3 linked regions of the Elephas maximus indicus genome follow. The protein of the gene in region 1 purifies or fractionates together with the protein of each later gene. This does not show direct contact. Links are inferred from orthologs where the notes say so. Each region holds a gene or a part of one and is shown in the gene's direction. Other genes may lie near its edges.

Evidence for each region.
Region 2: the proteins of TNS2 (region 1) and DTNB purify together in Homo sapiens (affinity purification with mass spectrometry; 3 studies listed by BioGRID and IntAct, with this or other methods). This does not show direct contact. The link is inferred for Elephas maximus indicus from reciprocal best matches to the Homo sapiens genes TNS2 and DTNB.
Region 3: the proteins of TNS2 (region 1) and UTRN purify together in Homo sapiens (affinity purification with mass spectrometry; 4 studies listed by BioGRID and IntAct, with this or other methods). This does not show direct contact. The link is inferred for Elephas maximus indicus from reciprocal best matches to the Homo sapiens genes TNS2 and UTRN.

What each region holds. Positions count from the first base shown.
Region 1 is NC_064822.1:108,563,579-108,571,249, forward strand, and holds the start of TNS2 (tensin-2), read left to right. Parts: upstream 1-4,666; 5' UTR 4,667-4,804; coding exon 4,805-4,879; intron 4,880-7,361; exon of another isoform or gene 7,362-7,460; coding exon of another isoform or gene 7,461-7,535; intron 7,536-7,671. Other genes in the region: EIF4B (eukaryotic translation initiation factor 4B), read left to right, coding at 157-229, 811-891. UniProt on the Homo sapiens protein: Tyrosine-protein phosphatase which regulates cell motility, proliferation and muscle-response to insulin. Phosphatase activity is mediated by binding to phosphatidylinositol-3,4,5-triphosphate (PtdIns(3,4,5)P3) via the SH2 domain.
Region 2 is NC_064830.1:43,591,074-43,598,772, reverse strand, and holds the start of DTNB (dystrobrevin beta), read left to right. Parts: upstream 1-4,675; 5' UTR 4,676-5,367; coding exon 5,368-5,513; intron 5,514-7,699.
Region 3 is NC_064819.1:214,931,361-214,938,685, forward strand, and holds the start of UTRN (utrophin), read left to right. Parts: upstream 1-4,323; 5' UTR 4,324-4,770; coding exon 4,771-4,864; intron 4,865-7,325.

The sequences.
Region 1 (7,671 bases):
CAGCCAATAAAGATAGGTACAATTCTGAGAATCTAGAAATAGTAAAATGTCCAGATAGCAAGGACTGGTGATTGGAGGTATCTGTTCAGTGCCTCAGAGTTGCGGGGTCAGGGGGGTCCTCTCCTAAAGATGGGGTTTTGTGCTTAATCTCTGCAGGAAAGATGGCAAAAAGGATCAAGACTCTAGATCTGCACCTGAGCCAAAGAAACCTGAAGAAAATCCAGCCTCTGTACGTGTTAAAGGCTTCAATTTCTCTCAGGTCACACTTATTCTGAAATGCCACTTTTAAAGGATCTTGATATTTTCACTTTTGCCATTGGACTCCTTAACATTTGGGACTACAAGTAGAGTGGTTGGAAATGAGACTTTGGTGTTTGTTTGAAATAGTACATGAAGCCACATACCTGATTTTAGGCATTTCGTATCTCGGCCACTGGGAGCTGTCAAATGAGGAATTGCTGTTCTTCTAGAGCAGATGGGCTCCTTGATGTCTTTACTCTGACTCCTTCCAAACAGCCATGCCTGTTGCTGTTTCTTTGACCCCTTTTATAGGTCAGAAAACTCTAGAATGAATGGTCTTGGGTGGCGACTGATGGTAGATAAATTGGTTTTCCCCTTTTGTACCTTTGACTGCACTCGCTCCTTCACGGAATGAAGGTAAAAGATGCTGTGTGACTACAGTTATGCCAATGAGCAAGTGGCTGTAATCTGGGCATTCATTCTCCTTTTGCCAAAGTATCTGTGTTCTTTTTCTTGAGTTTTGATGTGGGAGTTCAAGGCCTTTGTTATTTTCACTCTAATCTGTTACAGAAATTCAGTTCTGCAAGCAAGTATGCTGCTCTCTCAGTTGATGGTGAAGATGAAAACGAGGGAGAAGATTACGCCGAATAGACCTCTATGTCCTGTGCTTTCTCCTAGTCTCTCTCCACCCTGGAACATTCAAGAGCAAATCAAACCTCTGTCCAGACACGACAAAATAAAACTCACCATCTCCTGGAGACCTTTCTTAACTTTTTTTTTTTTTTTTAATGAAATTCTTTTGCATGCTGCTGCAGCCTTTAAAGTATTGAACTAACTGGAGAATCACCAATGTCGCCAGAGAGAAAAAGACGCAGCTTCCAGAGGAAAAGCTGTGCATTTTATGACACCATGCAGTTGTCTGTGTGATTAGTGTCTAGAGGCCTCCATTTAGCAGAAGTGGTAATGACAGTGATTCAGTGTCTGGAAGCTGGCTGGGCAGTACCCAAACCCAGTGCCGTGGTAGGGCAGGTATAAGGGAGAGCGCGAGAGTTCTACCTTTTAATTCTTATTATTCTATTGTGGCATATATGAATTCTGAAACATTATCTCAATAAATTGTCCATCCTTGGAAGGTAGGTTAAATAGTCTCTGAGGTTGTTTTAGTCTCTGGGAGGCTGCTAGTCCCTGGGGCCAGCCTAGGGGGAATTCTTCCATTTTTACCCCCCAGGGGGGTAGTAGGGAGTGAGTCTACAGGCCTTTGTGAAAGAATAGGACTGCTTGGTGACCAAAAATATGGGAAAATCAAGAAGCTTTGGCAAGTATTTCTTTTGCACCAGGTAATAGGGAAATGGTATGACCTCCGATAAATACATGAATGGTTTTTTTTCCTGGAGTAGGAAGCACTTAGGTGTTGTGGGAATTCCTGGGTCATATGTGTCCTGGTTTTGCCCTTTCTAAACACTCTTTTCTGAAACTTCAAGTATATCCACGTTCTGTCAGCCTTGAAGCTTATAAAGGTCTAGACTTGTCATTATCTTAGTGTTCCTTACACTGTTCTTTATTGTTACATCCCAGAAAATCAGCTTCTATGTAAGTCACATACCTGATTTTAGGCATTTTGTATCTCAGCCTCTGGAAGCTGTCAGGTGAGGAATCACTGTTTTTCTCAAGCGAATGGGCTCCTTGATGTCTTTATTCTCTCACTCCTTCTCATCAGCCGGGCCTGCTCCTGTTACTTTGACCCCTTTTACAGATCAGAAAACTCAGAATTAATGGTCTTTGGTGGTGAATGAGAGTAGATAAATAGGGACAGTTAAATTGAGAGCCTTAACAACCTTGATTTTTTTTTTTTTTAACACATTTCCTTCTCTCCACTGATAATCCCACACGAGTGTTTTATAATGTGGCCTAGACGTGTGTGTGTGTGTGCGTGTGCATGTATGCCTGCGTGTTTAGCTTCACTTGAGAGAATAAATGACAGAACTGTAACAAGGTCCTGGTTTCTCTTACAACACAGTAGCTTAACTTGCCTGCTTTTATATGCGCCTTTGTACGGGTCACCTTGGTAGATGGTGTCCTTCCAGTGGTACCTGCAGAGAAATGACACCTTGGTCTCTTGTTTGCAAGCCCTTCTGCCATCGGGCCCTAGGTTGGCCACGCAGGGGTGTTGGTTGGTTCGCCGTGGCACTAAGCATAATGAATCATCTACCCAGTGGGCAGGAAAGCTCTACCAAGTAAATTAACTTTAAGTAATGAGCATGGATTGGTCAGAAACTAGGAAATGGGCTTTTAGAGAGAGAGACACAAGGTTGAAATTTTTTATTTTTAAAACCATTTGCTGTAGATAATGAGAAGTAGGGTTTACCCTCTTCATGCCTACTCTCCTTCCAAATAGTTGTGTCCAAAAGAGCTGTTCTTTCCCGTTCCCTTGCTCTGCCCTCCTGTTAAAGCAGAAACTGATTGATTTATGTCCAGCTCCTGAATACATGTAAAATTTGTACAAAAATATCTTCTATGAAAATGATTTGTAATCTGTAGACTTAATACCTGGGAGATGTAAAATCCCCATCCTTTGGGTTGTGGGTTTTTTTGTTTTCTCCAAATAAATCTGATCTTTAAAGTTCATTTTAATGCAGAAATTCTTTGACATATGCTCCCCACTCCCACTGCTTTTTACTGAACTCACATTGACACCCCAGCCTGCTCCATCCCCACCATCTCTAAAGTTCTCCTTCAGCACTAGATCTGTTTTGTGCAAAACCAGAGGGTAGATTTACAAGAGAAATCTATTTTGATGCTTACTGAAGCCCTAAGACAACTCTCACACCAGCTCCCCTCCAGGTTAACCTTTACTGTATCAGCTGAGCTTGCCTGTAGTATACCTTTCAGGCATGAGATGTCCCGAGGGTAAATCTTCACATGCATGGGTCAGTTCCTCTGCAAACGCTTGCCCTTACTTCAGTCCAGAGGTGTTACTTTGCTGGGTTACCCCGCTCTGGTGGGATGAAGTTCTGGGTGACAGGCTGGCCTGGGCTACCACAACTGAGGCCGCTTGAGATCATCCCTCAGACCTAGCAGGAATTTTCCAAACAGAAGAACAGACTGGTCATTGTTGCAAAGTAGAAAAGGAGTTAGGACAGTGGCAGAGAGTCCTTAAGGTCACGAGGGGTGGAGCATAGAAGACCCAGGAAGCTTCAGTCAATTTGGGGGACTTGGAGCCAAGGGATGTGAAGAAGGGGCACACAGTTAAACTGCCTCACAGGGCCAGCTGGAGCAGCTGCTCTTCATGCGCTGATCTTGGTTCTCCAAAGTCAGCAAGTTGAGGGATAAGGCTCAGTGTGCTGTGATGATACAGAAGCCATTCAGTGTGGGTGTAGGTAGGGAGGAAAAGGTGCCCCTGCTCAGGCTGCCTGTGGTGCCTATAAAACAGTGCTTGTTTGCCCAGCTGCGGCACAGGAAGTGGCCTTGGTCACCTTCATTCTCCAAGCCTCCAGTTTAAGTCCCTCCCCTCCTGTGAAATAGTGAGGTCTGGGTAAATAATGATGAAAAGGCAGACAAAAGCAGAAAGGCTGACTTAAAGAGGCTTATGTGGGTTGTGCACAGAAAAGGTACGGAACGAGGCACTCCAGAACTAGGACCACCAGTTGCCGTTGAGTCAATTCATGGCAGCCCGTATGGTTCAGGGTAGAGCTTTGCTCCATGGTTTTGATGGCTGTGATCCTTCTGAAGCAGACCATCAGGCCTTCCGAGGTGCCTCTGGGTGGGTGTAAACCACAAGCCTTTCAGGTAACCATTTGTGCTACCCAGGGACTCCTAAGTTCCAGGAAAAGCTATAGGCTTTGCTGTGCCCCACATCCTCAGTTATATCAGGGTGTGTGGGTCCTCTTAGAAGCCCAGCAGCAGAAATGGATCCCAGGACTGGCCAGCTTGCACTCTCAGTTTACTGTAAATCATGAGCAAACAGGAAGGTGGGTGAAGGGTATATGGGTGCAGCATCTCAGCTGTAGGCTGGGCGAGTTCCCTGTGTATTCCAGTCCCCTAAACAATCCAACGCTAACAACTGTGTTCTGCGTTACAAGGCAATGAGGGTCTGGGTGAGTGCTGAGGGCGTCGCCTCAAGTGCTACTCAGGCTCACAGCATCTGGTTTCTCAGGAAATGGAAGAGCTGCACTGCTGCTCCTGGGAAGCTGTATTTGTCACATATCCTTGTTTCTCAGCAACCACTGTAGCCCCTAGGGCCACAAGTGAAGAAGGGGGAACTTGCCTTTCATCACCCACCCCACTCCTCAAAAAGGAGTTTGGAAGGGTCGGGCTGTGCTGCTCCCCGCCCAGCTGCAGCAACCTCCCGGTTGGACAATACACCCTCTGTCCTCAGGGCCAGGAGATCCGCCTCTGGAGTCAGTTCATCCCCTTCCCCCGCTCTTCCTGGTTTCCAGCGCCTAAATCCTCCACCGAAGTTCCCCTGACCCAGTGCTTTTCCAGCCAGGACACCCCCACACCCTCAATGTCCCTCTTCTGTAGCACCCCTACCACTGCAAGGATCTGAGCACACGCAGTCACAGGCATGGGATCACCCCAGACTATGGAAGAAGGGGTTCAGCCTTTGGTGCCAAGATGGGCTGCCTTCTGCATAGTCAAGGTAAGAAAACCTACATGGAGGGAGGGTCAGAGGGTATCCCTAAAATTGTTTCACCCTCATTAACATTCTCCTGGCTTTCCCTTTCCTCTCCCCCTCCCTTCTGAAGTTCCCACTGTTCTGAGCTGCTAATCAGAGTGCCTGGCTGGGCTTCATTTACCACCCATTTTTATTTCACTCCCACCAAGCCACCTTCTATAAGATTTTTCACTCCCAACCTTCTCATCAGCTTCTTTCCTGCAGCCTCCTTCCCCCAACCCTTAGTCTCCATGTTGAGAGTAGGATTCAAGTTTGAGTTGGGAGTTCAGCTACCTGTCTTGTGGCCCTCCCCCAACTTCTCAGGACCTCAGAAGTTCCTCTTGTGGGCCCATCAGTCAAGGCAGCAATACCGGCATGTGTGAGGTCCTAGCTCTACCCACCTCTCTGGGATCCAATCCTCTTCTCCGAGTCCCAATCTCTCCCTCAATACCCACATGAAATGCATCCTAGTCTCCAGCCAAAGACCCTAATGAACATTGGGAAGGGCAAGATGTTAAGAGCCAGCTGTAGGCTCCAAAGACATAAGGAAATCATATCATCTGTATCTTGCTTATGTAATCAAATCTTGGCAAAATACACAGCATGACCTTCAGTCCTGCCCTTTCCCCAGTAGCCTCCAATCTCTGCCACTCTTCTCTGTCTTAACTCTGCCTCTCGCCTCCTCCCTGTGTCTCTACCCCTTCCCTCCAAGACCCCACCACATCACCACCCCTAGCCCCCAGCCCTTCCTCCAGACCCTGGTGACTCTCACTGATCTAACCTCTGAAACTGCTTACTGGACACCAACTCAGCCAAGAGTGGTAAAATAAAAGCTTCCCAGTCCCAGCCATACCAACCCCACCCCACCCAAAAAAAAACACTGCTGTCAAGTCGATTCTGACTCATAGCGACCCTACAGGACAAAGTAGAACTGTCCCGTAGGGTTTCCAAGGAGTGGCTGGTGGATTCACACTGCTGACTTTTTGGTTAACAGCTGAGCCACTCCACCACCAGGGCTCCATCCCAGCCACACCAGCCCCCGCCAAAGGCTGGTTTCAGAGGGACCCACATTGTCACCATGCTCTGCTTCAGTCTCCTCCCTGCCGCCAACTTGGACTCAGGTGCTCCACCCCCTTCTAATAGGAACCATATTTCCCAGCCTCTGCCAGAGGCAAGATGAGGACAGAAAGAGACCCAGCTGAAAGATGGGACAGGGAGGGAAAGAGGGTCTTAGCGCTGGGGGCACTGGCTGCTTTGAGCAGGCACTGGGCATTGAGCCCTGGGCACTGAATTCTCAGAATCCAGAATCCACCTTCCCCCCTCCCTGAGCCCCCCCTTACCAGTTTTCATCATGGAAATTCTAGTGGGGAGGGTGAGGGAGAGAGGAAGTTTCAGGAAGTGCTCACTGTTAAAGAACGTTAGGGAATCTGGGCATGGCAGTAGGCTCAGAGCTTTTAGGAAGACATCCCCTCTTTCATCCCTCCCCTCCCACTTCCCCTCCAGGGTGGCACAATTCAAACCACCCTCAGCACCCATTTAGCTCCATTTCAGGAAGCTCCTATTCAATACTAGATCCAGAAACTGCAAAAGAAGGGAATGAGGTTAGATTATAGAAGGAACTTTAATCATCATTGGGGAAGCCTGGGACTTGAGTTAAATATAAGCAAGACTTTCTTGAACAGATGTCTCCTAAGGAGTGGGAATGACCATCCAGCTCCGAAGTAGGGCAATGGTTGGGATGACTGGAGCTGCATGTGGGGAGGCACTGGTTGAGCACAATATGGGGTCCTCTGGTGTGAGTCCTTTTGCAGGCATAGGTGACATCAAAGTCTCCCGTGAGGCAGAGGACCAGGAAAGGGTGTCAGGCAACTTGGCACACAAGTAACACCAGGTGTCTTCACCTGATTCTGGCGCCCCGTGGGCAGATGGGCCTGGCCTCACCAGGCCAGGCCGCGGGTGGGTCCCGGCTGGGGCTTTGGGGTCAAGCCCAGTGCCAAACAAGCTCCTGTGAAGGGGGCAGGCTGCGAGAGACCGGGCAGTTCTCGGCACTTTTGATTCTACTCCCTACGGGGCCAATGTCCACCTTTCCTTCGGCGTCTGTCTGGCTCGGGTGTTTCTTTTTGCCTGTGTCCCTCCAGGTCAGCCTCTCCTCGACTGTCTGTTGCCATCTCTGGGTTTCTCCCTGTCTCTGAAATTTTCCTGTCCCTGTGTTCTCCATGCCTTTCTCAAAATCTTTTTCCCGATCTCTTAGTCTCTTCCTGTCAGAGTCTCTCCCTGACTCTTCCTCTGACCGTCTCTGCGTTCCTCTTGCTTCTTGTCTCTTTGTGAGTCTGCGTTCGCGGGAGAAGGTGGAGAGAAGACGGAGAAAGGAGAGAGGCCGAGGGGGCGGGGAGCGGGCGGAACGTGGGGATTGGAGCCGGGGCGAAGGAGGGAGGGAGGAAAGGGGCGAGGGAGAGGGCGGCCGTGGCCGCGGGGAGCGGCGGGGTGGGAGGGAGCCCGGCCGGCCGAGCGCGGCGCGCCCGCTCCCCTCCTCCTGCTGGTCCCGCTCGGCAAGGGCCCCGGCGGGATGGGCTGGCCCGGGGGCAACCCCTGCTGCTGCCCCGCCCCGGTGCGCCCCCGCCCCGCCGGGCGCCCCCCGCAGGTGAGTGGCCGAGCCGCGCTAGGCCGGAGGGCGGTGGCCTCTGCGTCACGGCTGAGCGGGCAGTGCCGGGGGCGGGCGCCAGGGGGCGCGCGGAGTGGGGTGGGCTCCCCATGTTTGGGGGTCCGGGCGGGCCTTG
Region 2 (7,699 bases), on another chromosome or scaffold:
CCATCTCTGGCCGGGAAGTGAGTATGGTGGGGAGTCCGCGGCGGCGGCCGGAGCCTGCGGGCGAGGGAAGCGCCTGCTCGAGCCTCGCGCCCCGGGGGAGCGGGAAGAGAGCAGCGCGGCGCCTGGACCTCCGGAGCCTTGGGGGCGCAGCGCCGGGAGAGGCGGAGACGGCGCGCGGGAGCCGGGGCCGCTGCACCGCGCGCGGCTGGGAAGGGAGACGGCGCGTGGCGCTCGGCCCTGGAGGGCCAGGGGAGGGGATGGAGCGGAGCCAGCGCAGCCGGACCCTGAGCCCGGCAGGGGAGGGGTCTCCGGCGTCCCGAGCTCGCTGTGGCCACCCGGCGCGGAGCCGGGGCTGCGGCCGCCGGGCAGATGCTGCTTGAGCCCGGGCTCGCGAGGAAGAGGCTCTGCGTTAGGTGCCGAAGGGGGCGAAAGAGGCAGGTCCTGGCAGAGGGCAGGTAAGGCAGGCAGGCCCTGGCAGAGGGAAGGGAATTTATTTCAGATCACCCCAAAGCACTGTTTCCCGAGGCGCCTAATAGTAAACCTGTTCACCGAGGTCACCCTTAAAAGGAAAGTGTCCTGAGATAGAGCAGGATGCAGCTAGCGAATGCTTGCTGTTAAATTTCTGTGCCAGACGTTGGGATTAAGAAAGAAGACCTTGCACGCTTAGCAAACGTTTATTGATTAGCTACTGTGGATAGAGAGCCATTGTCAGCACTGGGGCTACAAAACAGTATTAAACACGACCAGGATTTGCTATTTAGGCGCTGACAATTTGATTGTGAGGGTATCCGTATAAAATACACAGCAGCATTGAAATTTATGTCTCATACCTTTTACTTTAGGTCTGTTTTATTTCATCCTACTATGGGGTCATTGGAGGCATGAGTTGCTTGGTTTTGGGGATAAAGCAGAAGGGTCAAAAAAGTTTATGGGAGAAATTTGAGTTTCGCAAGCTCTTTTGCTTAACATTTAAAGGGGCATAGGGGAAAAATAAATTTGACAGCAGAAAGGAAGCTGACCAGGACGGTGCCTGGTCCACAAGAGTTGTGCGGTGAATGAAGATACACATTTAGTCTGAGCAGTATTGATCACTCTCCAGTTAGGAAGACTGATGGTCCCTCAAGTTCCTTTTTTTTTTTTTTTTTTGCCATATGAGATCACCCAGGTTCTTAGATCAGGGCATGTTAAAGCAGTGGTGGAGTCGTGATTTCTTGTGGCCATTCTCCTGCTTTCACATGCTTATTGCATATTGGCTGTGAGCAGCTTGCTTCTTGGGCTTGAGATTTTTTTTATTGTGGCTCTTCTCTCCTTTTTCTATCACTTGAGGAAGAAGAAAAACATTTTTGTTTGGAAAACACTTTTTCATTTTTATCTTGGTTCTTGGGTCTTAGATCTGCAGTAAGATCTACAGATCTTAGATCTGCTATTCTTGAGGGTCAGTTCTACCTGTCTTCTGTCTTGGTTGGATTTTTGGACTCTTGAGCTCAGGGCTGCTGTTTCCGTTTCCTGGGTTGCAATGCCTGTTGGGTTACTTTGTCTGCCAAAATAAAACTTGACCTTTTATGAGCTCTGTTAGGATTTTGAGGAGCCCTGGTGGCACGGTGGTTAAAGCGTTCGGCTGCTAGCCAAAAGTTGGCGGTTTGAACTCACCAGCCTTTCCGAGGGAGAAAGATGTGGTAGTCTGCTTCCATAAAGACTACAGCCTTCAAAACCCTTTGGACCAGTTCTGCTCTGTCCTACAGGTTCACTATGAGTTGGAATTGACTCGATGGCAGTGGATTTTAGCTTGGGTGTGAATTTTTATCATACGTGAGTGGTACTGCCTTTGCAGGGGGTTGTGCAGTCAAGGTAGCGTTGACAAGGTCTTTGAGTGACCACTATGCCCGAGAGACGAAATTTCTACTCAGTCTAGAAAACTAGACTTAGAACCAGTAGAATTTCAACCTACTATTTGCTTATTTTCTATCTTTAATATATATCTCTCAATACCTTAGTTTCCTCATGTAATATTAATCCAAATTTGGCATTGAGGAGCCCTGGTGGTACAGTGGTTAAGTGCTTCGCTGCTAACCGAAAGGCAGGCTGTTCGAACCCACCAGCCCCACTGCGTCAGCCCTTCTGCGGGTGACGTATGTGGCAGTCTGCTTCACAGTTACATTTTTAAAGATTTATAACCTTGGAAACCCTATGGGGCAGCTCTCCTGTATCCTATAGGGTCACTAAGATTTGGAGTGGGTGAGAAAGTCATGAAGAGATACTTTCTCTTTAGTTCTAGGGCTGCACTTCAGGGTAACTACTAGTTCTTGTTTTCGGGTGCCTCGGTCCTGCAATTTTGGGTGTCTTGTTCCAGGCTTCCCTAATGGTATGATATTTATTTATGTTATTTACATTTATTTTTAAAGCGACTTTATTGATGTACGATTTGTATATGATAAAATGCACAGATTTCCTATGGACAGTTGGATGAGTTTTAACAAATGTTTATACTTTGTAACTACTAGCTCAGTCAATATGTAGAACACTGCCATCATCCGAGAAAGTCGACCTAGCCCCACGTTTCATGTATTTGTAACTACACGAGTATCAGGACTGTGGCATCTAGTTGTGCAGGTTGTATACAGCCCAGCTTTAGCGAGTGCCTGGCAGTTCAGATCCACCAGCTGCTCCTTGGAAATCCTATGGGGCAGTTCTACTCTGTCCTGTAGGGTCGCTATGAGTTGGAATTAACTCGATGGCAATGAATTTTTTTTCATTTTCATCAGAGTCGCTCCTGGAGTTGTGTAGTACACAATATGTGTGGCTCTGTGCTGCAACACTTCTAAGGGCTCATGAATACACACTTGCTTGTGAAACACTCAAATTGTACAAACAAAACCCTCCTTGAGCCACGCCCTTCTCCACAGAAAGTACAGTTATCAGTTTGTTGTGCTCCCTCCAGACCTTTTTTTGCCTTTTCATGTGCCCATAGGTAATACAGGAGCCCTCCTGTGTACAGTGGTTAAGTGCTCAGCTGCTAACTGAAAGGTTGGCAGTTTGAACCCACCCACTGCCCCATGGGAGAAAGATGTGGCAGTCTGCTTCCATAAAGGTTACAGCCTTGGAAACCTTATGGGGCAGTTCTCCTCTGTCCTATAGGGTTGCTATGAGTCAGATCAACTCAGCAGCAGTGGTTTGGTTTTTTTGGTTTATAGGTAATACAGAAAAGACCAGGGATCCCCACCTACGTTAATGACATCATACCATACCAATCGTTCTGCAACTTTTTTTAAACTAATAGACTGTCTTTGAGGTCTTTCCATGTTGGAGCAGAGGGATCTACCTAATTCTTCTTAACTATTAATCTCTCAAGTAGCATGTATGCACTCTAACTCAAAACCGAACTCACTGTCATCTAGTCAGTTACCGACTCACAGTGACCCTATAGGACAGAGTAGAACTGCCCCATAGAGTTTCCATGGAGCGCCTGGTGGATTCAAACTGCCGACCTTTTGGTTACCAGCTGTAGCTCTTAACCACTATGCCACCAGGGTTTCTGTATCACTGTAGATTATTTAATCCTCTTTTCACTAGTGGGCATTTAAGCTGTTTATAGTCTTTTGTTTTTTCACGCATTGCTGCAGTGAATAAGAAGTAGAATTACTGGGTCAAAGGGGTGGCGCAGATTTTAAATTTTAATTGGTGGAGATTTAACCATGTTGCTACTTTTGGATCTGGTTCGCTTATTTTTGACTGCAGAGAGTATTCACCTGTAGACTTCATCACAGTTTATGTTCCCTTTTACTCGGTGAGGGTCAATTAGGCTACTTTGGATACTAACTCTTTGATGGATATGGGTTTTGGAAATGCATCCTGCCAGTCTGAGTCTTGTCCTTCCCCTTGTTAAAGATGCCCTTTGTTGTGTACAAGTTTTCAATTTTCATGTCTGGTTTAGGAAAGTTTTCTCTATCACAGAGTAGGAATTATATAGTCCTGTATTTTCTTCTGGAAACCCTGGCGGTGTAGTCGTTAAGTCCTACGGCTGCTAACCAAAGGGTCAGCAGTTCAAATCCGCTGGGCGCTCCTTGGAAACTCTATGGGGCAGTTCTGCTCTGTCCTATAGGGTCGCTATGAGTTGGAATTGACTGGACCGTACAGGGTTTGGTTTGGTTTTGGTATTTTCTTCTAAAAATTTTGCTTTTCACGTGGAATTTGTTTCTGTGTGTGCTGTAACAAAGAGAGAGAATTTTTTTCAATTTCGTAACTAGTTTTTCAGCACTCTTTAATTGAGGATATCCCTTCCCCTGCTGATTTGACAGCCACCTCTATCATAAGTCAAACTCTCTGAGCCTGTTATCTTTTTGGTAGTTGGGACATCTTGGCTACAGATTTCGTTTTTTTGATGCTTATTGGTTTACTTATATTTTTTTCTTTAGTCAATTTTGGTCATCCTTTTCTAAAACAATTATCTGCTTTAAATTCTGAAATATATTGACATATTTATGTTATTTAATTATATATGTAACATACTTTTATGATTTAAAAAAATCTTTGCCATATCTGTAATTCTTTTATTCCCCCCGTGTTGATTAGCTCTTTTTCTTTATGCTTGATCCATTTGACTTGAATTTTATTTGTAATTAGTTTTTTCCTTCAAAGAACAGATTTAGTCTATTTCTTAATTTTCTATTTAATTGATTTCTTCTTTTATCTTTCTTATATTCTTCCCTTCTTTCAACTTAGAGGTAGGCTTTAGATTTTTAAAATTTTCTTATGGTAAAATGTAAGAGATAGGTTGTATCTGTTTGTGCCCTCCTTTCCTGTAAGACAGACAAACACCCCTGCCCTTGCCATGAGATTGCCAGTATCTTCTGGGGAAGGAAGATACCTCTATTGTGTCGATATCATAGTTAGCCATTTGAGTTGCTTTGGCTAATGAAAAATGAATGGAGGTGATATTGCATGTAGCCACCAGTTTTCTTTCTGTTTTCCCTCTGCCTTGAGAATGGTACGTCCCAAATAGTGTATGTTCCTTCAGTCTGAAATTTAAATGAAGATGTTACATGGAAGACAGCCACAGCTGACCTGTAGCCGACATGTATCACAAATGAGAAATAATAAGTCTTTGTTTAAGCCACTAAGATTTTTGGCTGTTACTAGTTTTAACCTAAAGAAAGTTGATTGATATAAAAATAGGTTCCAAGGATACTATGGTAAATTATATTACTGCTGCCGGTTACTTGCTCACGTGAAGAGCTTACCTGTGGGAGGCATGTATTTCCTGGCCTCATTGTTAGGTTTGGCCACGTGACTTGCTTTGGCCAATGAAATTTGAATGGAAGTGGAAGATGCTAATTCTGGTTCTGAGAGGGGAGCTTTGAGAGCCATTGCATGCTTCTGCCAGCTCTCTTGTACTTTTCCCTCTGGCAGGAGAATGTCGTGTTCCAAACAGGGGCTGCTCCTTCAGCCTTACCCTGGCACGAAGGCGTGTGGAGCAGAGCCAGAGAGACCTGTAGCTGCTTCAGCCTGCATGTATCGTAAGAAGAAATAACCTTTTGTTACTGTAAACTGCTGAGATTTTGGGATTGTTTTTCCCTTAACATAATCTAGTGAAAACAGATTATGTTTGCTGTTCTTTTTCTAATTTTATAAGTTGAATCAATGCATTAATTAAAAAAATGTTCTTATATTTTAATAAGTGCACTTAAGGATACAAAGTTTCTGCTGAGTACTACTTTTCTCCTGTATCAAGTTTTGATTGTATACTCTCTTTGCATTGTTTGATTCTAAATATGTGATGATTTCCTTTATGATTTCCACTTTAACCCTGAGTCATTTAGGAAAATATCTTCTAATTTCCAAACATTTTTTTTAAACTAATTTTTTTTTTAATTGTTGGGTTTTATTTTAATTGCACTGTGGTAGAGAAAGTGGCCTTATGGAAATGATTATTTGTAATCTAGTGTGATTTCCTTTGTGACTTACTCGATTTTTATAAATGTTTTGACATGTATTTAGAAATAATGAATATTGTCTATTTGTTGGGTGCAGGGTTCCATATTACTGTTCGATAAGCATATTAGTTTTTTGTGATTTTTCTATATCCCACCTAATTTTTTGCCTTTTTAATTTATCCATTTTGTATATAACTATATTAAAACCACTTACTGTGGTTGTAGAATTATCAGTTTCTCCTTGTAATTCTCTTAGTTTGTCTTTATATATTTCTAGTTATGTTGCTAGGCTCATGTAAGTTTATGATTGTTGTACCTTCTTGGTGGATTGCTTTATAATTTTGTAGTGTCTTTCCTTGTCCTCATAATGCCTTTTCCCTTAAGATTTATGTTGTTTGATGTCAATGTTGATATTTATAAAATTCTAGTTTGAAATTATTTTCCTTCAGCACTATTTTATGATCTTCTGGCTTTTTTGTTGCTGTTGTTATTGAGAAAAGTCTGCTATTGGTCTACTTGTTATTTATTTGTAGATAGCCAGTCTTTTGTCTCTGGTAGTTTCTAAATTTTATTAGTGATGTTTTATAGTTTTACTGTGATATGTTTAGGTATGGATTTATTTATTTTGCTTGAACTGTGGAATAGACCATCAGTTGCTCATATGCAAGTTCAGGTGAAGCTGAAGAAAATTAAAACAAAAACCAAAATATGACCTTGAGTATATCTCACCTGAATTTAGAGACTATCTCAAGAATAGATGTGACACATTGAACACTAATTACTGAAGACCAGATGCGTCGTGGGATGACATCAAAGACATCATACATGAAAAAAGCAGAAGTTCATTCGAAAGACAGGAAGAAAAGAAAAGACCAAAATGGGTGTCAGAAGAGCCTCTGAAACTTGCTCTTGAACATAGAGTAGCTAAAGTGAGCAGAAGAAGTGACCATGTAGAAGAGCTGAGTAGATTTCAAAGGGTACCACAAGAAGATAAAGTATGATAATGAGACATTTAGAGACCTGGAGTTGGAAAACCAAAAGGAAAGAACATGCCCGGCATTTCTCAAGCTGAAAGAACTGTGGAAGAAATTCAGGCCTCAAGTTGCAATACTGAAGGATTCTATGGACAAAATATGGAACAATGCAGGAAACAGCAAACGAAGATGGAAGGAATACACAGAGTCACTGTACCAGAAAGGATTGATCTACATTCAGCCATTTCAGGAGGTAGCATATGATCAAGAACTGATGGTACTGAAAGAAGAAGCCCAAGCTGCACTGACGGCATTAGCAAAACACAAGGCTCCAGGAACTGACAGAATACTAATTGAGGTGTTTCAACAAGTGGATGCAATGCTGGAGGCACTCATTCGTCTATGCCAAGAAATTTGGAAGACAGCTACCTGGCCAACTGACTGGAAGAGGTCCAGATTTGTGCCCTTCCAAAGAAAGGTGATCCAACAGAATACAGAAATCATCTAACAATATCATTAATATCATATACAAGTAAAATTTTGCTGAAGATCATTCAAAAGCGGCTGAAGCAGTACATCACCAGGGAACTGCCAGAAATTCAAGCTGGATTCAGAAAAGGATGTGGAATGAGGGATATCATTGCTGATGTCAGATGGATCTTGGCTGAAAGCAGAGAATATCAGAAAGATATTTACCTATGTTTTATTGACTATGCAAAGGCGTTCAACTGTGTGGATCATAAAAAATTATGAGTTGTCTCATTTTGAAATTTTATTGTTAATTATTAGATTTCT
Region 3 (7,325 bases), on another chromosome or scaffold:
GCATATCACCAGGGCTTTCCTCTGAGGTGCCTCTGGGTGGACTTGAACCTCTGGCCTTTCAGTTTGCAGCCGAGTACGTTGACTGCACCACCCAGGGACTCCCATCTATTAGCAGGAGTGTGGTTTTCTTGGAGAATTCAGTCTAGAAATGAAAGTCAAATAAAATTTCAAAGTCAGATCTTCACCTTCTCCCCATTTTTTTTTTAGCTAACCTTGTTTCTATCAAAAGATTTTAATATTTTCTGATCTGAAAAAACTGCTTGACCCTAGCTTAAGTGCATACAGGATAACTACACGCTGAGCCAGTGTCTTGAGACATCACAGCCAGTGCTGTGAGTCCTGAGTTCCATTTCCTGTGGAATCCCTGGTCCGGGAGGGGGTGCTTTGACTCTTACTTTTGTCTGCTGCTCTCAAGGGTCAGGTGAGGTTCATTAGTTAGGACTGACAGTTATAATAAGATGTTCAAAGCCAAGAGGGTTTGTAGATAACAGAAGGAATGAAGAAAATGTGTGCCTTTAATGGTCAAGGCCCCTTGTCTGGGTTTGGCGGCGCTGCCGCTGCTGGGCGCGTGTATCCTGGGTGGAGAGAGGATTAGTCCCTGAATGCCTTTGCTTTACTCTCTCCCTTCTTTACTACCTCCCGTGGTTTCAGCTGAGTTGTTCTGTAATTCTCTTGCCACTGCAATCCTTTCTTTCCTTTTTGATGAGAGTAGACCTAGGCTGGCGGCCAGTTGCCGTTGAGCTATAATAGAGCTAGTGGTATGTACAAAATTTGATTACTGCTGTCAACACCACATTGAATAAGAGAGTGCATACCCTAGACAGATACTTGCAACATAAATGGTCTATTGATTTCATAAAAACTAGAAATGAGGGCATCGTGTAATCTAGCAGAAGGGGTCTGACACTATGCAACAGTTTTAACAAGTGTCCTCCTATTAAACCAAAAAAGAACAAAAACACCCTTTGCCGTTGAGTTGATTCCAACTCATAGAGACCCTATGGGACAGAGTAGAGCTGCCCCACAGAGTTTCCAAGGAGCGCCTGGTAGATTTGAACTGCCCACCTTTTGGTTAGCAGCTGTAGCACTTAACCACTACGCCACCAGAAAACCCTCAGGTAACTCTTACAACTTACCCAGTGGTTCCATGGGAAAAACACCTGACAATCTGCTTCCTTAAAGATCACATCCAAGAATACCCCAGGGGGCAGTTCTGCTTTGTCACGTGGGGCCGCTACGAGTTGGAATTGACTCAGCAGCACCCAACAACAACTCTAATAAACTGATCTTTGTTCCTAAACGTCTTCACAATCAAGTTTTTTTTTAATAGTGTTAAAAATATACATAACAAAACATTTGCCAGTTCAAAATTTTTACGTACATAATTCAGTGACACTGATTGTATTCTTCATGCCATGCTACTGTTCTCACTATCTTTTTCCAAATTATGTTAGCACCATTACCATAAACTCCATTTCCCCTAAGCAGCAACTTCCCCTTTCCCCCTTCCTCGAACCCCTGGTAGCCACTAATAAGCTTTGGTTTCCCTATATTTGCATATTTCATATAAGCAAGTGAGATCATACAGTGTTTGTCCTTTTCACAACCAACTTTTTATAGAAACTCCAGTGAGGCATCCGCACTTGCGCTTGTTCGGTGGCTTGCCTTTGCCGCCTCCGTAGAAGTTGGATTCGTTGATACAGACCATTTTTGCTCTTGAGCTGTGATGACATTTCCACTTAGCTTAATATGAATGTTTTAGAAATTTCCCACAATGGAAAGTTCTGTTTGACAAGGAAGTTCAGCGGTCAGTTGCACAGTCAGCTGTATGCCAAGAAATAACTGAAACAATGAATTACATAGTGCAGCCTTGGGGCATGGAAAATTTCTTAGAAAATGGATGAATCATGTTATGAATCCATGTTTCAGGCCTGACGCCTTACATTAGAAAATAGAAAACTTTCCTTTCTTTGTTTTTTAAGCTTATAACCTTCTCATGTTTTCCTGGTTATGCTTTACAGAGATTTTATTCTGCTTTGATTTTTTAAAAGAAATTAAAAAAAAAATTTTAAATCCTAGAAGTAGGATGTTTCAGGAAGGAGGTAATTCACATCTTTGTGCATGAATTTGTTCAAACGTGGTAAGATCTGAAAAAATTCATAATCCTTGTGAGTTAGATTTCCTTGAATAGTAGTAATTCTTCTCTCCATATCACAGTTTTTGAGAGGGGAGAGGAAACTCTTGCTAGTGTCTAGATTCTTGTTCCCCTTGCCTACCTTCAAAATTTGGGAGATTCTCAATGTTTAACTTAAATCACAGTCTCGTCTAAAATTTCTTCCTATCGGTAATTATGGCTATTTACTTACAGAAGAATGGTTTAAGTGATCCTATTTCTATTTAAGAAGAAGAGATACACAGAAAGGCAGGTGGAGAGAACCGATATGTGAATGATTGAAATGTGGTATTTACATTTAGAATTTCTTCTCTCCAATTTTCTTATGTAACCTTTTTGTAGAGAAGATGCAACTGCTTTAGCAAGCCCTTCCTGAGATTTAAATCTGAAGGCTAGCGATGTTTAGCTGGGATGCACCAATACCGCTAGACTGTTGTTAAAATGTTGAAGGTCTTTCATATCTGTTGGAAAATAACTGCTGTTAAAGCTAGGGACCTTCAGGACCTGCTCCAGCACGGTAGTTGGTATGCATTCTGATTTATGCAGTGCTTGTACCTGGCTGGTTGCTCTGTTTCGAGTATTTAGTTGGATAGGAATGGAAGGGAACCCCGGTGGTACAGTGGTTAAAAGCTGTGCTGCTAACCGAAAAGTCAGCTGTTCGAACCCACAAGCCGTTCCACAGGAGAAAGATGTAGCAGTCTGCTGCCCTGAAGATTATAGCCTTGTAAATCCTGTAGGGCAGTTCTGCTCTGCCCTGTAGGGTTGCTATGAGTCGGAATGGACTCCATGGCAGTGGGTTTTGGATTTATAGGAATGGAGACATTTTTGGCCTGCTGATAGGAATTTGGCTTTGTCAGCTGTAAGGAAAATGCAACTTAAACCACAATGAGATGTCGCTTCACAACTGATGAGTAAATAAATAACATGTGACGTGTCCGTACAATGGAATATTTCATGTTGAGCAGCCGTCGAGTCGACTCCCGACTCCTGGCGACCCAGGTGTGGCAGAGGACAACTGTGTTTCACAGAGTTTTCAGCGACTGGTTTTTCTGAAGGCGATCACCAGGCCTTTCTTCCCAGGCACTTCTGAGTAGACTCCGACCTCTAACTTTTTAGTTAGCAGCCAAGCGCATTAAGTGGACCTTCCAGGAACACTAGTTTTATTTTGCCATTAAAAAAAAAAAAAAGATGAGGTACTGATACATGCCGCATCATGCGTGAACCCTGAAAACATGTTAAGTGAAAGAAGTCAGTCACATTAGACCAGGTATTGCATCATCTCATTTATATGAAATGTTCGAATAGGTAAATCTATACAGACAGAAGTTTTATTTTAGTGGTTGCCTGGGGTTGTTGGGGTGGGTAGGTGGGGTAGAAATGGAGAGTGATGGCTTTTTGGGGTGATGAAAATGTTCTCAAATTAGGTAGTGATAGTTGCTTAACTCTGTGAATATACTAAAAGCCATTGAATTGTGCATTTTAAACGGGTGAATTGGATAGTGTGTGAATTATATCTCAACAAAGCTGTTGACCCCCCTCCCAAGAGAAAAAGAGAATTAAGCTTTAATTACGTGACATAATTGTTTTTCACCCTGCTTTTCACTGTCTCCTCACAACCGTCCTAGGAGACAGGTGAGGTCACTACTCCCGTTTTACAGATGTGGAAAGTGAGGCTTATAGTGTTTTACCAGAATCACACAGCTTCTAGCCCAGGAAAAATACTTAAGTTAGAGAGGGTGGGGCAAGTACTGACGAGTTCTCTCTTCTGTACCTCAGCTAGTGGCAGGAATAGGAACAGAAATGGCTTTAAATTTAAACCTGTGGGTATTCCATCAAGGTTACATAGTCTGTGAAAATCTTTGTGCATAGAAGGTTTGTATTTCAAAACAGAATAGAGAAAGAGGCAAGGAATAAGAAAGCAGGCGAGATAATATGGGTAATGGTTTTCCTATGGAGAACATGTCCAACAAGAGACAGGAAGAGAGCAGGCAGACACAGAATTGAATGGGCTGGAAAGTGTGAGTCAAGATGGTTCTCTCTAATAGTGTTGTATGGTTAAGCTTATTATTTTTTCATAACAATAATTTCTAAGGGATAAACAAGAAAGCCTTTTGAGTTCTATTCCTCCAAGATATAGATACATATTAAAGTGAAAAATAAGTATAATTTATTCTTTGAAGTATAGTTAATATGTAACCGAACTCTTCAGCCCTGTTGTAGACTCAGGACAGAAGCCTCTATTTATAGACATGGTGAGTAGGGAGGTAGGTGGAGGGTACCCCCTTACCAGCTAACACTTCAAAACAGGAAACAATGTTTTAATCTCTCAGTGGTAGACCAGGAGGAGCATTCAAAGGCCCCTAGTTATGACTATTAAAAAAAAAACAAAACAACTACCTAAAGAGTTTTCACTAACTGCTAAGTGTAACTTCCTGTCTGGTATTTAGAGGAGGCTGGCTTAGGTTTAGTCAGATCCTCTCATGGGAAAAATAAAAGACACCAAAAGAAACAGGACATCCCAGTGTGCAGTTCGCATGCTGCTTTTGTGGTCTGCTTCCTCTGGATCTTTGTCCTCTTCGTTTAAGCCTGTGTAGGTGATGAGCCGTCCAGCCACCACCACATTTCGTTGGAAAAAGTGCAGATTTGATTTGCCCGGGCAAATAGCTCTGCAGACTTGCAAACGATTACCAGGTAAGCTTGTCAACGTGCCTCAGGACCAGCCAGGGAGGTTTTGAAAAGAGGATGTCCGTGGGAGACAGGCTTCTCTCTCTTTCACTTGCTGAGCCTAGTTTGTTAAGTAAGAGAGCTCTGAAGGCAGAGCCTGGCTGGTGACGGAATAGACCTGGCCTTTTCTTCCTGATGCCGCTGCTGTTGTGGCCTCTGAATAGTGGAGGCCATAACTGCCTGTTTCATCATTCTCTGCACAGTGGGACAGTTTGCTGAAGTTATTGGCTCCTTTGGAAAAGGCGCTCAAGGAACCATACGTTTGTTGTGAAAAATGTTTCACTCTCTCTCTCTGTATTTTCAAAGTTACTTACTATCTGTTGACTGTTTACTATGGTTTAGAGGCAAAAAGTTCCCTCTGTGACCGTGGAATAGTGGTAGATCTCATCCATATGGCATTTGCTTTGCTCAATTGACTAAAAAGAGACTATTTATTTTTAAATTTATTTATTTATTGTGCTTTAAATGAAAGTTTACAAATCAAGTCACTCTCTCATACAAAAAGTTATATACACCTCGCTGTGTACTACTAGCTGTTCTCCCCCTAATGAGATAGCACACTCCTCCTCTCCTCCCTGTATTCCCTGTGTCCATTCACCTAGCTCCTGTTTCCCTCTTCCTTCTCATCTTGCCTCCAGACAGGAGTTGCCCACATAGTCAGAAGAGACTTTATTTAAAAAAAAAAAAAAAAAGTAGTTTTTTGTCCTCCCCTTTTGGGGGAGATATCAGGGAAGGGGTTTTTGTTTTAATGCAGTCTCGTCCTGGAGAACCGCGGATGCATAATTACTTGGGGGTGCACTTTTCTTTCAAGAGTTTGCTTCCGCGGTGACTTAGTATTTCCGATGGGTTCAGACGTACATACATGTTTATGTAACAGTTGTATCAGCTGTCTGAGGAAAAAACAAAAACAGAAAAAAAACCAACTCAAGAGATATATCTTGTTTCACCCTACAGATCATGTGTGAATATTGTCACCATGGAACGACTCCCTTTTAGTGTCTTTTAACTCCATACAAATGAGGTAATAAGTGCTTTTGAGCATTGTTTCTTTGGAACAAATTTAAGTCCAAACTGAAATGACTGGAACAGCCCATATTTTCTTAGTAAATTAGATTTCTTGGCCAAGTGTAGTAGATTAGTGTGCTATAGTTCTCTTCATTTCTTGGCTGTTACTTTTCTCTTTTTTCAAAAGAATCATGTGGTCTTAATAGAAAATTAAAATAACCTTTCAGGGACCTGATTTAAAAAGCTATGCACAGGACTTGTAATTGCAGTATTATGGCTTTTTAAAGTTTTTTTTTTTTTTTTTGACACTAATCTTGTTTCGTTTGCTGGTGTTAATATTAATAGTCTCACTTCTCTGCGTATGTCTTGCGCCATAGGGTCTGAGTTACTTATAGCCCTTGAAATCAGAAGACAATTAGAATAAACGTGCAAACCTTTACTGAGTAGACTACTGTTTTACATATGCTTAAATCCTGTGCTGATTGAGTCTTGATTCTTTTTTGATGGCATTCTTTTCTGCCCTCTGAGCAGTCCAAAGGCTTTAGGAAGACAGAAGGCATTCTTTTTTAAATAAATATTTTACGGTGTGTTATTTTAATAAAAATAGAAAACTCATGTGTACATGACTTCAAATTCCACAAGGGCCTAAGCTTTCTCTTGTTACTGAACTGAATGTTTTCATGTATCTGAGGGGTAGATCTTGGTGATCTTGATAGAAATAAAGCTATAAAAAAGTATATTTTTATGGATGGCATATTCTGGTGGAACACATGGCCATTTTTGGTATTCAGAGCAGTCTCTATGATAGATTAAGCCTTGAGATGTCTATTATTTACTGACCTCAAAGTATAAGGGGTGAAACCATTAAATGTTTCGCTTTAAACTTTTGACAGTTAAGAGGTTGATGTTTCAAATGACTGTTGCAGAACCTAAAGGGAATAATAGAACATAATAAAATGAAGTAAACTGAAAATATATATTTGCTCAAAATTAGCCTTGAGTGTTATTTTTAAAATTACCAGTCCTTGGCTGGTATGTTCTCATCTAGATTGTTGTGATCTAATTTAGATTATTTGCCTCTTGGGTACCCATTGAGCTATAATGGGGGAGAATTGAATATGTTGAAATCTATGGATTATGCATGTATAGTTGTTACAGGTTCTTTTTATATTAAAATATTTACCCTAAACTTTTGTTAAGTATTTCATTTTCTTTCCATAATCTTAGTGTCTACGAACAAATTACCAAATGTTAAAAATAATCTAATTAAAGGAGACCAAAGTAAAAAAAGGAAATGTCTTGAACATGTGAAATAAAAAATTATTCCATGGCATTATAGGATTTCCAGACATTTTTTTTTTAGTAATGTACACACAATTGTCCCTGCCCAGGTAGCCACTTCTGGGAGGCCCTGCTTTCCCTT